3 linked regions of the Oryctolagus cuniculus genome follow. The protein of the gene in region 2 purifies or fractionates together with the protein of the main gene of each other region. This does not show direct contact. Links are inferred from orthologs where the notes say so. Each region holds a gene or a part of one and is shown on either strand. Other genes may lie near its edges. The genes, in order: XRCC4, PNKP and LIG3.

The links.
Region 1: the proteins of PNKP (region 2) and XRCC4 purify together in Homo sapiens (co-immunoprecipitation; 5 studies listed by BioGRID and IntAct, counting the BioPlex papers as one, with this or other methods). This does not show direct contact. The link is inferred for Oryctolagus cuniculus from reciprocal best matches to the Homo sapiens genes PNKP and XRCC4.
Region 3: the proteins of PNKP (region 2) and LIG3 purify together in Homo sapiens (co-immunoprecipitation; 5 studies listed by BioGRID and IntAct, with this or other methods). This does not show direct contact. The link is inferred for Oryctolagus cuniculus from reciprocal best matches to the Homo sapiens genes PNKP and LIG3.

The regions. Positions count from the first base shown.
Region 1 is NC_091445.1:6,524,944-6,527,766, reverse strand, and holds the end of XRCC4 (DNA repair protein XRCC4), read right to left. Parts: intron 1,344-2,823; coding exon 1,232-1,343; 3' UTR 628-1,231; downstream 1-627.
Region 2 is NC_091449.1:7,700,905-7,705,045, forward strand, and holds the start of PNKP (bifunctional polynucleotide phosphatase/kinase), read left to right. Parts: upstream 1-1,288; 5' UTR 1,289-1,888; intron 1,889-2,108; 5' UTR 2,109-2,120; coding exon 2,121-2,274; intron 2,275-2,350; exon of another isoform or gene 2,351-2,487; coding exon of another isoform or gene 2,488-2,488; intron 2,489-2,573; coding exon 2,574-2,620; intron 2,621-2,893; coding exon 2,894-3,208; intron 3,209-3,480; coding exon 3,481-3,560; intron 3,561-3,637; coding exon 3,638-3,695; intron 3,696-3,766; coding exon 3,767-3,874; intron 3,875-3,966; coding exon 3,967-4,038; intron 4,039-4,141. Other genes in the region: AKT1S1 (proline-rich AKT1 substrate 1), read left to right, coding at 375-518. UniProt on the Homo sapiens protein: Plays a key role in the repair of DNA damage, functioning as part of both the non-homologous end-joining (NHEJ) and base excision repair (BER) pathways.
Region 3 is NC_091448.1:39,288,084-39,291,729, forward strand, and holds part of LIG3 (DNA ligase 3), read right to left. Parts: intron 2,690-3,646; coding exon 2,489-2,689; intron 1,772-2,488; coding exon 1,620-1,771; intron 881-1,619; coding exon 714-880; intron 586-713; coding exon 508-585; intron 64-507; coding exon 1-63. UniProt on the Homo sapiens protein: Isoform 3 functions as a heterodimer with DNA-repair protein XRCC1 in the nucleus and can correct defective DNA strand-break repair and sister chromatid exchange following treatment with ionizing radiation and alkylating agents.

The sequences.
Region 1 (2,823 bases), on a different chromosome or scaffold from region 2:
TAGATATGTGCATATGGATATTATTTGAGACCACAGGCAACCCAGGGTGGCTGAGAGTGACAGCGTGGGCAATGAGGAGAAGAGAACTCAAGACTGAGCCCAGGCCTCAAGCTTTAGCTGTTGGGCAAGGGGGACAGAATCAGCTAAGAAGTCCAAGAGATGAGAGACTGAAAAGAGGCCTACGGAGAATACCCGGTGTTCGAGGAAGGAAGAGCAGGCCCACTGGGAAGAAGTGACCCACCGAGGCTCTCAGGAGGATGAGGGTGGTAATGAGCCAACCTCTGGATTCAGCAACCTGCCAGCCACTGTCAACTTCAGTGCTGTAGCCTTCCATAGTGTGGAGGGAGTGGAGACAGCAGGAGAGGTGGCGAGTACAATCATGGATGCACACAGAAACAGTGCCAGTGTTATTTGGGATGGATAAGTAAATACGAAAAGGCCTTGTCTTCAGGGAGAGTCTCTCTATGCATATAAGGTAAACATTTATCAACAATCCTGGAAAAATGTTTCTAACAAAAAAGCACATTATTAAACACATTCTGGGATGGGAGAGGGAGTGGGAGATGGGATGGTTGCAGGGGGTGGGGGAGGGAGGTTATGGGAGGAAAAGCCACCATAATCCAAAAGTTGTACTTTGGAAATTTATATTTATTAAATAAAAATAAAAAATAAACACATTTGGAAGAAAAATTTTTGCTAAATAATACATTTTATCAAGAACACAGAACTTTCAAAGCACCAAAAATTTTATTATTAGATTTTCAGATTGTTTACATACAAACTAAAAATATATTTTATATATCATCCAACAAATGAAAATGCTCAAATATAATTAACTGTTCAGAATATAACTTTTCAAAAAGAACTACAAACATTTAAAAGATTTCTTTGTTACTTTTTGAAAATCCCCCTGGACAGGGTGTGAGACATGTACCACACACAATATGTATGAATGAAAACAATAAATGTGTCCTCTGAAACAAAGTTTAAGATTTTATGTAATTAAAGGCATGCTGCACGAATAGTTTAGAAGAACGTAACACTGTCATCAAATCACATCTTCATATACACGTGTAATCCATTTTGTACAACGGCTTCAACCCCGTGTGTATGTAATTAAATCGTAAGGTTGCAGTAATGGCTACTGCTCGGCTGCAATTCCGCTGTTTCATTTTAAAGAAATGAATAGAAAACGCAATCTAGTGGCCATCCAAGTACTTCCTCAAGACTGTTAAATCTCGTCAAAGAGGTCTTCCGGACTGCTGTTTCTCAGCGTCTCTAAAGACAAGTGCTCAGCGGAGACGCGCTCCTTCTGCAGTGTCTCAGGGAGTGAAGGATCGAGCCTAGAGTGAAAAGAAAGCCAGGAGAGTTTTATTTGAAAAAAAATAATTCCACTGTAGCACAAAAGAAAATGCGGATGTACCTAAGTGGATCATGTTACAGCCTGTTTCAGAACTGGTATGTTGTTAGCTACAAGCAAAGAAGGATGAAAGGAATTCAATTTCTTTGCTTTAGAATGCATCTGTCTCTATTCTCAGCTAAAATAAAAAAATCAAGGGCCTGCAACAGTCATGATCAAGGTCAAGAAAGGAAATATCTCATCCTCTGTTCTATATTCACTGTTATACCAAGATACAGGTTCCCCAAGCCCTCCCTTTAACAATTCCATCACAACATTCATTTTCCTCCGGCTTCCTTAGATGCTGCCCGTGAACATGCATTTCTGTCCCTGCGCAGCACAAAGTTCTGATCACTGGACTTTCCTTTAGCGGTCAGTGGGTCGCGTGTGGATGACTAACAGTGATTGTTCACCTTGATGGTGACTGCTGACGAAATGCTGTAGGTCCACATTCGTTCACTGAATATGCACATCTTGTTTAGCAATTGAAATTTTATCCAGTTCGGTACCACAGTTGAGTACTTCAGTGGACTGATTTCTATATTTATGGGAGTGTTCTCAGTGCTGGGATAACGGGTTTGTTCATGGCCATGATCGCTGTTGACTGGTACAGGGCAGACGGAGCTGGGGTGCAACGGCTCAGTCACAAGGAAAACTTCGGGATACATGTTTACATCCTTGTGCTACGCTTTGCCCCTGGTTTTCCAGGGAACCTTCACGAAATGTGCTTGATGATAGTGATTGGAGGTGGCTGCAGAAGGAAGTATGATTAGGCTGAGTCCAACTTCAAAGGCAGAGGGGGAGTCACAGTGGCTCGGAACACCTGCAGGGTCATCGACTTGAAGCTGATGTGCACAGTTCTGAATGCAGGTCTATTTCTTTTTTCCAAATACATTTTTTCATTGATTTCATTTTATTTATTTTAAATGTCTATTTATTTGTTTGAACTGGGAGGAGGGAGGAAGGGGGGGAAGAGAAAGAAAGAGAGAGAGAGAGAGAGAGAGAGAGAATCTTCTATATACTGTCTCACTCCCAAAATGCCTGAAATACTGGGGGGTGGACGGGGTGAAGCCAGGAACCAGGAACTCCATCTGGGTCTCCCAGACGGGTAGGAAGGACCCAAGCACTGGAGCCATCGTCTGCTGCCTCCCAGGGTGCACATTAGCAGGAAACTGTAGAAGAGGCAGAGGTGGGACAGAAACCCAGGCACCCTGATGTACACACCAGAAGTGGCAGCTTAACTCAACACCACAACACTTGCCCCAAATCCAAGTCTACGTCTTCCTAGCTAAGTGATGTTAGGCGAGTCATTCAACCTAACAGACTCCCGTTGTCTCTGCTGAGATAGTATCTGCCTCTGAAGTGGTCTGAAGATTAAAGGAGGGGATGTACATGAAAGTGCTTGTGAAGTTCCACAAAACAGA
Region 2 (4,141 bases):
GGGCACTGAGGGCCCGGCCCCCTGAGGTCGGCCCCACCCGGAGCTGCAGGCCCAGGTCACAGCGGGGACCCCGCCTGCCCCAGGCTGTAGGGGCCCAGGCAGGGTCCACCAGCTGTGACGTGGGTCCCATCTGGGGCCAGGAGCTGCGGGGGCACCAGGCCTGCATGGGAGCGTGGAGTGACAGCTGATGGCCTGTCCGCGACCTCACATCAGCCCCATTGTCAGAGCGGGGGGCTCACTGGCTCACCGGCTCACCGCAGCCTGCCCAGATCTTCAGATCTGAGGCCCTGTGCCGGAGTGAGGGCTGCGGGACGTGGGGCAGGGCCAGGGACGGAGCAGGCGGTGAGCACCCTCACCCGTCGCCCTGTCCGCAGCCCTCCTCGCCGGACCTGGACCGCATCGCGGCGAGCATGCGCGCGCTCGTGCTGCGGGAGGCCGACGACACCCAGGTGTTCGGGGACCTGCCGCGGCCGCGGCTCAACACCAGCGACTTCCAGAAGCTGAAGCGGAAATACTGAGGCCCGGGAGGGGCCGCCGGGTCCCGCGTCCGCCCCGCCCCGCACGACGCCCCTGGCCCGCCCCCGGAGCTCGCCAATGCCGGCGCGGCCTGGGGCCCGCCCCCCACGTGTCCGCGGCTGGGGCTGCGCGTCCCTGCCAGCCCCGCCCCTCGCCCCGCCCCGCCCGCCGGCGTCTCCCGATTGGGTCGGTCGGTCCTGCCCAGCGACGGCTCCTGCTGCGATTGGTTGACCCCGGCGGGGGCGTGGCTAGCTCCCGGCCGGGGCGGCCGGGTTCGGGCGGAAGCAAAGGGCTCTCCCCGCGGAGCGGCTCCGGCCCCGGGGCGCGGCCCAGCCCTGGTGTCCAGACTCGGTCTGCAGCCATCCCGCGTTCACACTACTGAGGCTCGGGCTGGTTTAGCCCGCCTCGCCCACGTCCTGACACGGCTGCTCGGCCCTGTCCCCGGCCCCTCCAACAGCCTGCCAGGCGCACCAGCCCCCGCCCCTCCCGCCCACAGGTGCCTTAATGGGCCCTCGTCCACCCACGTGGGGAGAGGGGGCCTCACTCTCCGGCCCTGCTGCGGGGGGAGAGGGGGGTGGGAGCCGGGAATGGGAAGGGCGCTCTGAGATTAAAAGTTTTACTTCTGACGTGAGCGTGACGTGTGCTGTGCATTCAGCTTAGACGCTCCTGGGCCGGACGCGCAGAGCGAGGCTGGGAGTTGGAATCACTCCCAGCTCCACGGGCCAGGAACGGGGCACTCGTGGGCAGGGGAGGGCTCCGGCCCCGTGGACCAGAGTCGGGCAGTCGGGCCGGTGGCACTGTCCCCACGTTATGGCCGGGTGGGACACTCGTGGGCAGGGGAGGGCTCCGGCCCCGTGGACCAGAGTTGGGCAGTCGGGCCGGTGGCACTGCCCCCACGTTATGGCCGGGTGGGGCACTCGTGGGCAGGGGAGGGCTCCGGCCCCGTGGAGCAGAGTCGGGCCGGTGGCCGGGGAATCTCGGTTTCCCATCAGGTCGCGACCAGAGGAACGCCAGCAATAGGATTTTCTGCCGCTTGTATATTTCCGTGTGAACTCTTGATATTCGCGTAGCAATCCCTCTGCGGCGTCGGGTGTGAAGCAATAGACCGACCTAGGTAGGGGCGGCCCCTCGGACTGACTCCACCACAGGCGCCGGGAATTCGAGAGGAGTTCGCACGGGTCACCGACGCCCCCTAGGGGCCGAACCTGACACTGCAGCGAGAGCGAGCGGGGGGCGGGGCCGGAGCTCCGCCCCCTCGGCGCGCCCAGTCACTTCCGTCCGCCGGGACCCGAGAGGCGGCGGCGAGGGCAGGGCGCCTCGGGCGGGCCCGCCTTGGCTTGAAGCGACGCCGGAGTCCGGGCAGCCGGCGCGGGTGAGCGTGTGCGGGCGAGGCGGCGGCGCGCGAAGCTCTGAGCCCAGCCCCGAGGAATCGGGGACTCGGGCCGGCGGGGAGCCGGAGCCGGCGTCGTCGCCAGGGAAACGGCACGAGCCCGAGGCCGCGAGGGGGTGGGACTTCCTGGCGGACGGGCTGGGAAGAGGCGGGACTTCCTGTGGAACTGGGGCGCCCGCCGTTCAGACCCGTTCCCCTTTAGTCTGCACGCGCGATGGCCGAGACGGAGCAGCCCCGGGGCCGCCTGTGGCTGCAAAGCCCCCCGGGAGGGGCGGCCCCCATCTTCCTGCCCTCGGACGGGCAGCCCCTGGTCCTAGGCCGGGGGCCACTGACGCAGGTTACGGACCGGAAGTGCTCGAGAACCCAAGGTGGGCGGGGCCCGGGCCGGGGGTGTGGCCTGCCCGGAAGCAGGAACCGCTTCCTAGCAGGCGCTGGGCCCGGCGAGGCCGAGGGGGGCGGGTGCCCTCTGGGAAGCAGAGGAGTGGGTGGCTGAGCCTGAACTGGGGCCAGCCAGACCCCGCGGAGAGAAGCGCCCCGATTCCAGAGAGAAAGCGCCCGTGTGGTCGGCGGTCCTGTCTTGAAGTAAACCGCCTCCCGGCCCCGCGCCCCAGTACCGGGAAACCAGTCACACGGGGGCCGCACCCTGACCTCACTCCCCCACCCGCAGTGGAGCTGGTCGCGGACCTGGAGACCCGGACCGTGGCGGTGAAACAGGTGCGAGCGCGGCCTGGGGGTCGGGTCTAGCCAGAGAGCACCGCCTTCGGGGACACGCCCCTAGGGATCTGATTGGCTGAGGAAGAGCGTGGCCAGCCCCTGGAGAGTGGCTGAGGGGGGAAGGGGCGTGGCCAGTGCAGCCTCCCCTGCTGCGGTAGGGCAGCCTCCTGTAACCTCTCAAAGCCCTGATTGGTGGGTGCAGTGAGGAGGTGGGGCTTGTAAGTCCCGTCCCTGGGTGTTTGATTGGAGGTTGGTGCTGGGGGGCGGGGCCAGCCGCAGTTCCTTCCCCTTTCTCTGCAGCTGGGAATTAACCCCTCAACTGCTGGCACTCAGGAACTGAAGCAGGGTTTGGAGGGCTCGCTGGGGGTTGGGGATACGCTGTATTTGGTCAATGGCCTGCACCCGCTGACCCTGCGCTGGGAGGAGACCGACTCACCAGGATCCCGGCCAGCTACTCCACCCGGCACCCCTCCAGAGCCCCCAGAGGAGGAGCCGCCGGAGAAGCGGAGGCGGAGGTCGGCTCCAGGCTGGGCGCACCTGGACAAGCTGCTGGTGTTCACCGCGCCCGGCGTGCAGCCCCGCGCCAAGGTGAGGCCCAGGCCCGGCTTTGCTCGGCCTCCAGCGCTCGGAGCTGGACCCGGGGTCAGCGCGGCGCGTGCCCACCCCGCAGTCACCCCCCGAAGCTTAGCTCCCGCTGTGTCTAAGTGCAGACCGGGCAGAGCTCGGGTACCTTAACCCCCGTCTTAGAGGTTGGGGTACCGGGGGCAGCCACGAGAGACAGGAAGGACTTGGGGTTCTCCCAGGGCGCTCGGATGGGCGGTGGGGTCACCGGGCTGCTGCTGTCCCCCTGGCGTCCCCAGGTGGCTGGCTTTGATCTGGACGGGACCCTCATCACCACCCGCTCCGGGAAGGTCTTTCCCACTGGCCCCAGTGACTGGAGGTGAGCACGGGGGAGGGAGCGAGGGGGCCCGGAGCCACCTCCGGCCCCGGGTCAGCAGGGCTTCCCGCCTGCCCTAGGCTCCTGTACCCGGAGATTCCGCGGAGGCTACGGGAGCTCGTTGCGGATGGCTACAAGGTGCGTGTGCCTGGGCTGTGGGCCGGGCAGGGCCAGAGCCGCGCGCCCGCTGACGGCCCCCTGCTCCCCAGCTGGTGATCTTCACCAACCAGATGGGCATCGGGCGCGGGAAGCTGCGGGCAGAGGAGTTCAAGGCCAAGGTGGAGGCCGTGCTGGAGAAGCTGGGGGCCCCCTTCCAGGTACGGCCGGGGCGCCTGGCTGGCAAGGCGGAGGGCGGCTTCCAGGGGCGCGGGGAGCAGCGGCGTGACGTCCCATGCCGACCCCACCCCAGGTGCTGGTGGCCACGCACGCGGGCTTGTACCGGAAGCCGGTGAGCGGTATGTGGGACTACCTGCAGGAGCAGGTGAGCAGCCCCGCCCTGGCCCCCGCGCGCTGGAGGCCTGCTCGCCGCCCCGGCCGCGCCTTCTCTCCCCAGCTGCCACATCCTAGGCGCTGGAGGCCCGAGC
Region 3 (3,646 bases), on a different chromosome or scaffold from region 2:
ACGTCCTGCAGGTTGCGCGAGGCTTTGAAGGCTTCATAGGCATTGGGGTCGAGGGCATCTAACCTGCCAGTGGGGACAGGAGCAAGGAAACAAAACCACTGCCTTTGACCTGATGGCTTTGGGGAGCAACCTGTCCTCACAGACAGGAAAGCCCAATCTAGAGGGGAGACGTTGTGCTTTCTTGTCCAAAAACTTTTATAGGAAGGGGGAAACACTCTTGGAAGGTTGTCTTTAGTGACCCTGTGACTATGTGGATGCCAGCTCAGCAGTGGAGGGGCCTGGGTTGGGCCAACTACACTTAGTACATTCCATACTCAATTTTAACAACTCTGTGATGAAGGTATTGTTAGCTCTTCTTTACATATAAGAAAATGGAGGTAGAGAAAGAATCGTTACCCTGCAGGAAGAAAAATGGGACAGGATTCCAGATCAAGACTCCAAAGATCTGACACCAGCTGGGGACAAAGAAAGCTGACAGCTTAGGCTGTCGCAGGAACTGGCACTTACACATGCTTTGCACCCGAGTTCATCTTCAGATCATGTTTGATCAGCCTGATGATGCACTTAAGGTCATTGGCTGTGCACCTAAGGAGAGGAAGCACATTCAACACGACCTCTGAAGAGCTCTGGATGCTCCAAACCGAAACTCCCAAGTGATCCAGCTCCCGGAGCCCATCCCCACCAAGTGTGGCTTGATAGGGCAACTCCCCCACCTGGAGGCGATGTCCTGTAGGGCCTGCTGCTGTTCATCTTCTTTGGTGAGCTTGGAGAGCCGCAGGAGGAATTCATCCACTTCCTGGATGGTAAGGAGGCTCTTGGCAGCTGGGGGGAAAGACTTGCTCTGCTCAAAGAAGACTCTGATTGTCTCTGACACGTCACCCTGTCTCCAAAAACCAAAATGCCACTGCTACAACCCCAGGGTGGCCAAGTGTGTCCCCCAAGACCTTAGGACTAAAATGAGTCGAGATTTCAATCACAGTTCCTGTCCTCAACTCGGTGCATGTGGGAGCTTCAAAAAGTGCATAGAAAATCACATTATCCAGTAATTTCCCTTTTCCAACTAACCTTTTGAAGCCCCCTCATATTTACCTAACTTAGAGACTCTGGCCCAGCCACTGCTCCTAGAAGGGGCACAGCTATCACACAGGACCTGCCCACCTGCTTTGGCTGACAAGAATAGACACAGGAACTAATCCAGGGCTGAGCCAATTTGATTCCTGCTCTAAGATCTGTTAACAACTAACAGACAGATATTAGTTATCAGATAGGGGGGCACTTGGATGGAAACTTTCTACGGTACCCGCTGGCATTACAAACAAACCAAAGCTGAATGGCAAGGCCAAAGTTATAGGGGCAAGTCCAGAATGAGAATCCCAGGTGAGAACAGGGAAAGCTCAGATCCTGACTTTTGAAAGTCTTTGCCGTCTGTGGCTCAGCAGTAGCATAGTTTTAGTCCTTGGGAGCTCATGAAGTGAACAGCTGTAGCCTCACATTCAGCCCCTCCCATAATGGTTTCAGTTTCTTAACACAGGAAGTGCCCCACCCAGAAAAAAAGTGGCTGCAGTGCCTGGCCTGGCAGAACCCCACCTAGAACAGGGCCTATTCTCCCTTCCTCTGACCTGCTCTAGGTCCCGCGCCATATCGTCTGGGTTGCAGTTAAAAATGCGGCTGAAGAGCTTCACAATCTGCTTGTCATTCAAGTTGTAAACACTCTTAATGACCCCCGGCAACAGGAGCTTCACTGTTAGGTACGTATCACCGCGGAAACCATCTGGAGACAGAAGAAAGGAACCCTACTTGAGAAATGCAGCTTAAATGAATACAAAAACTCCAGGAAGCAGAGACCCACCTGTCTGTCTGTCTGTCTATCGCCTGTCTATCTATTGCTCCCTGCTCCCATGGTGCCCTGTGCCTATCTCTATGGCAGGAGGGGCCACAAAGTTCAGTGGCTCCTGTGTCTGCCTCACCTTTCGCCCGTGGATGAACTCCTGCGGGGCAGAGCCAGGACCTGCACTTCACATCCTGAGTGACAAGTAGGTTTCAGATGCTCAGTGTGACAATGTTTATGAATGAACAAGGCAGAGTTGAAGGCTGCATTCCAAGCTGTCACATGCTCACATAAATCTAACCCAACGCGCAAGTTATGGAATTTTCACAGGCAGAGGCTCAGCCTACTATGCCACAGCGCCGGCCCCTCCTTTGGGTCCAATAGGATGGGTTGTTCTTCTGGCCTCCTTAGGGTGGAATAAGGGCAAAGGAAGAAAGGTGCCCAAGCACTCTGAGCACTCTGAGCACTCTGGCTACATCACTGTGGGGCCTGGTGCCAAATGTAAACACGAGCCCCTTGTTCAGAATTACTAACTGCAAGACTACACCAGTGGAGCACTAAACCACACAGGGAGTCTGTGCGACAGTTCGCATGCCCAGGAGCCGGCCATGGCCTGGAGCTCTGCAGAGGACGAGCCCACTCAGGATGCTCGTGGCCCACCTCCTGTTGAGCCTTTCCGCAGGAAGTTCTGGATGATCTGGGTCTTTGTGTTGTAGCTCGGGTTATCGGCCACCATGGCACACAGCTTGCGAAATTCCCGCAGCAGACAATCCTTGTGTTTGGGGTCACATTTGCTTGAGGACAAACTTGTTGTAGGGGCAGGGCTTGAGGGTGGGTTCTGCCCAGAGTTGTTGGGCTTAGCTGTGGAGAAAGAAACAACAGACATCATTCTCTCTGCCATCCTGAGAAGGGAGGACACGAAGAGGCGGTCTGCTCGTGCTTTCCATGCAGCTTTCCTGGATCGCCTAAGTGCCTGTGCGGTGCACACCATTACACTCACCTTACAGGTGGAGACATGGAGCTCAAGTAATTGCTCCAAACCTCAAAGTTTGTTTTTTATTTTATTTTTTTAAATACCTATTTATTTGAAAGGCAGAGTTACAGATAAAGAGAGGGAGACATCCACACACACTCACACAGGGAGGGAGGAAAGGAGAAAAAAGAGAGATTTTCCATCCACTGGTTCATTTCCTGGATGGCCGTAACAGCCATGACTGGGCCAGGTCAGAGCCAGGAGCTTCACTGGGGTCTCCTAAGTGGGTGGCAGGGGCCCCAGCACTGGGCCATCTGCACTGCTTTCCCAGGTGCATTAGCAGGGAGCTGGATTGGAACTGGTACTCACTCACATGGGATGCTGGTGTTACTGGCAGCAGCCTAATCCACTGCACCACAATGCTTGCCCCGATTTTTTGTTTTTTCTTTTTTTTTTAAATCTTAATTTATTTATTTGAGGGGGGAAGAGAGTGAGCAAGCATCCACTGGTTTATTCTTCAAATGCCTGCATTGACTCTGGGCTAGGCTGGGAGCCAAAGCAAGCAACTAGGAACTCAGCTGAGGTCTTCCATGTGGGCAGCAGGAATCCAATCACTTAAGTCACCACAGCTGGTTCCCAGGGTCTCCATCAGCAGGACCCAGAGCTGGTTATCATGTCCAGGCACTCCCACCCTGCTGTCTTGGCTAGACCAAACACCTGTCTCTCATAATTATGCACGGTAAAGAACAATGGGCCCCTCACACTGAAGCCGAGGACCAGACTGACATGGATCTATAGGTGAGCCCTTCCCAGAAGAACAGAGGCCATCTCCGTGTCAGGAATGC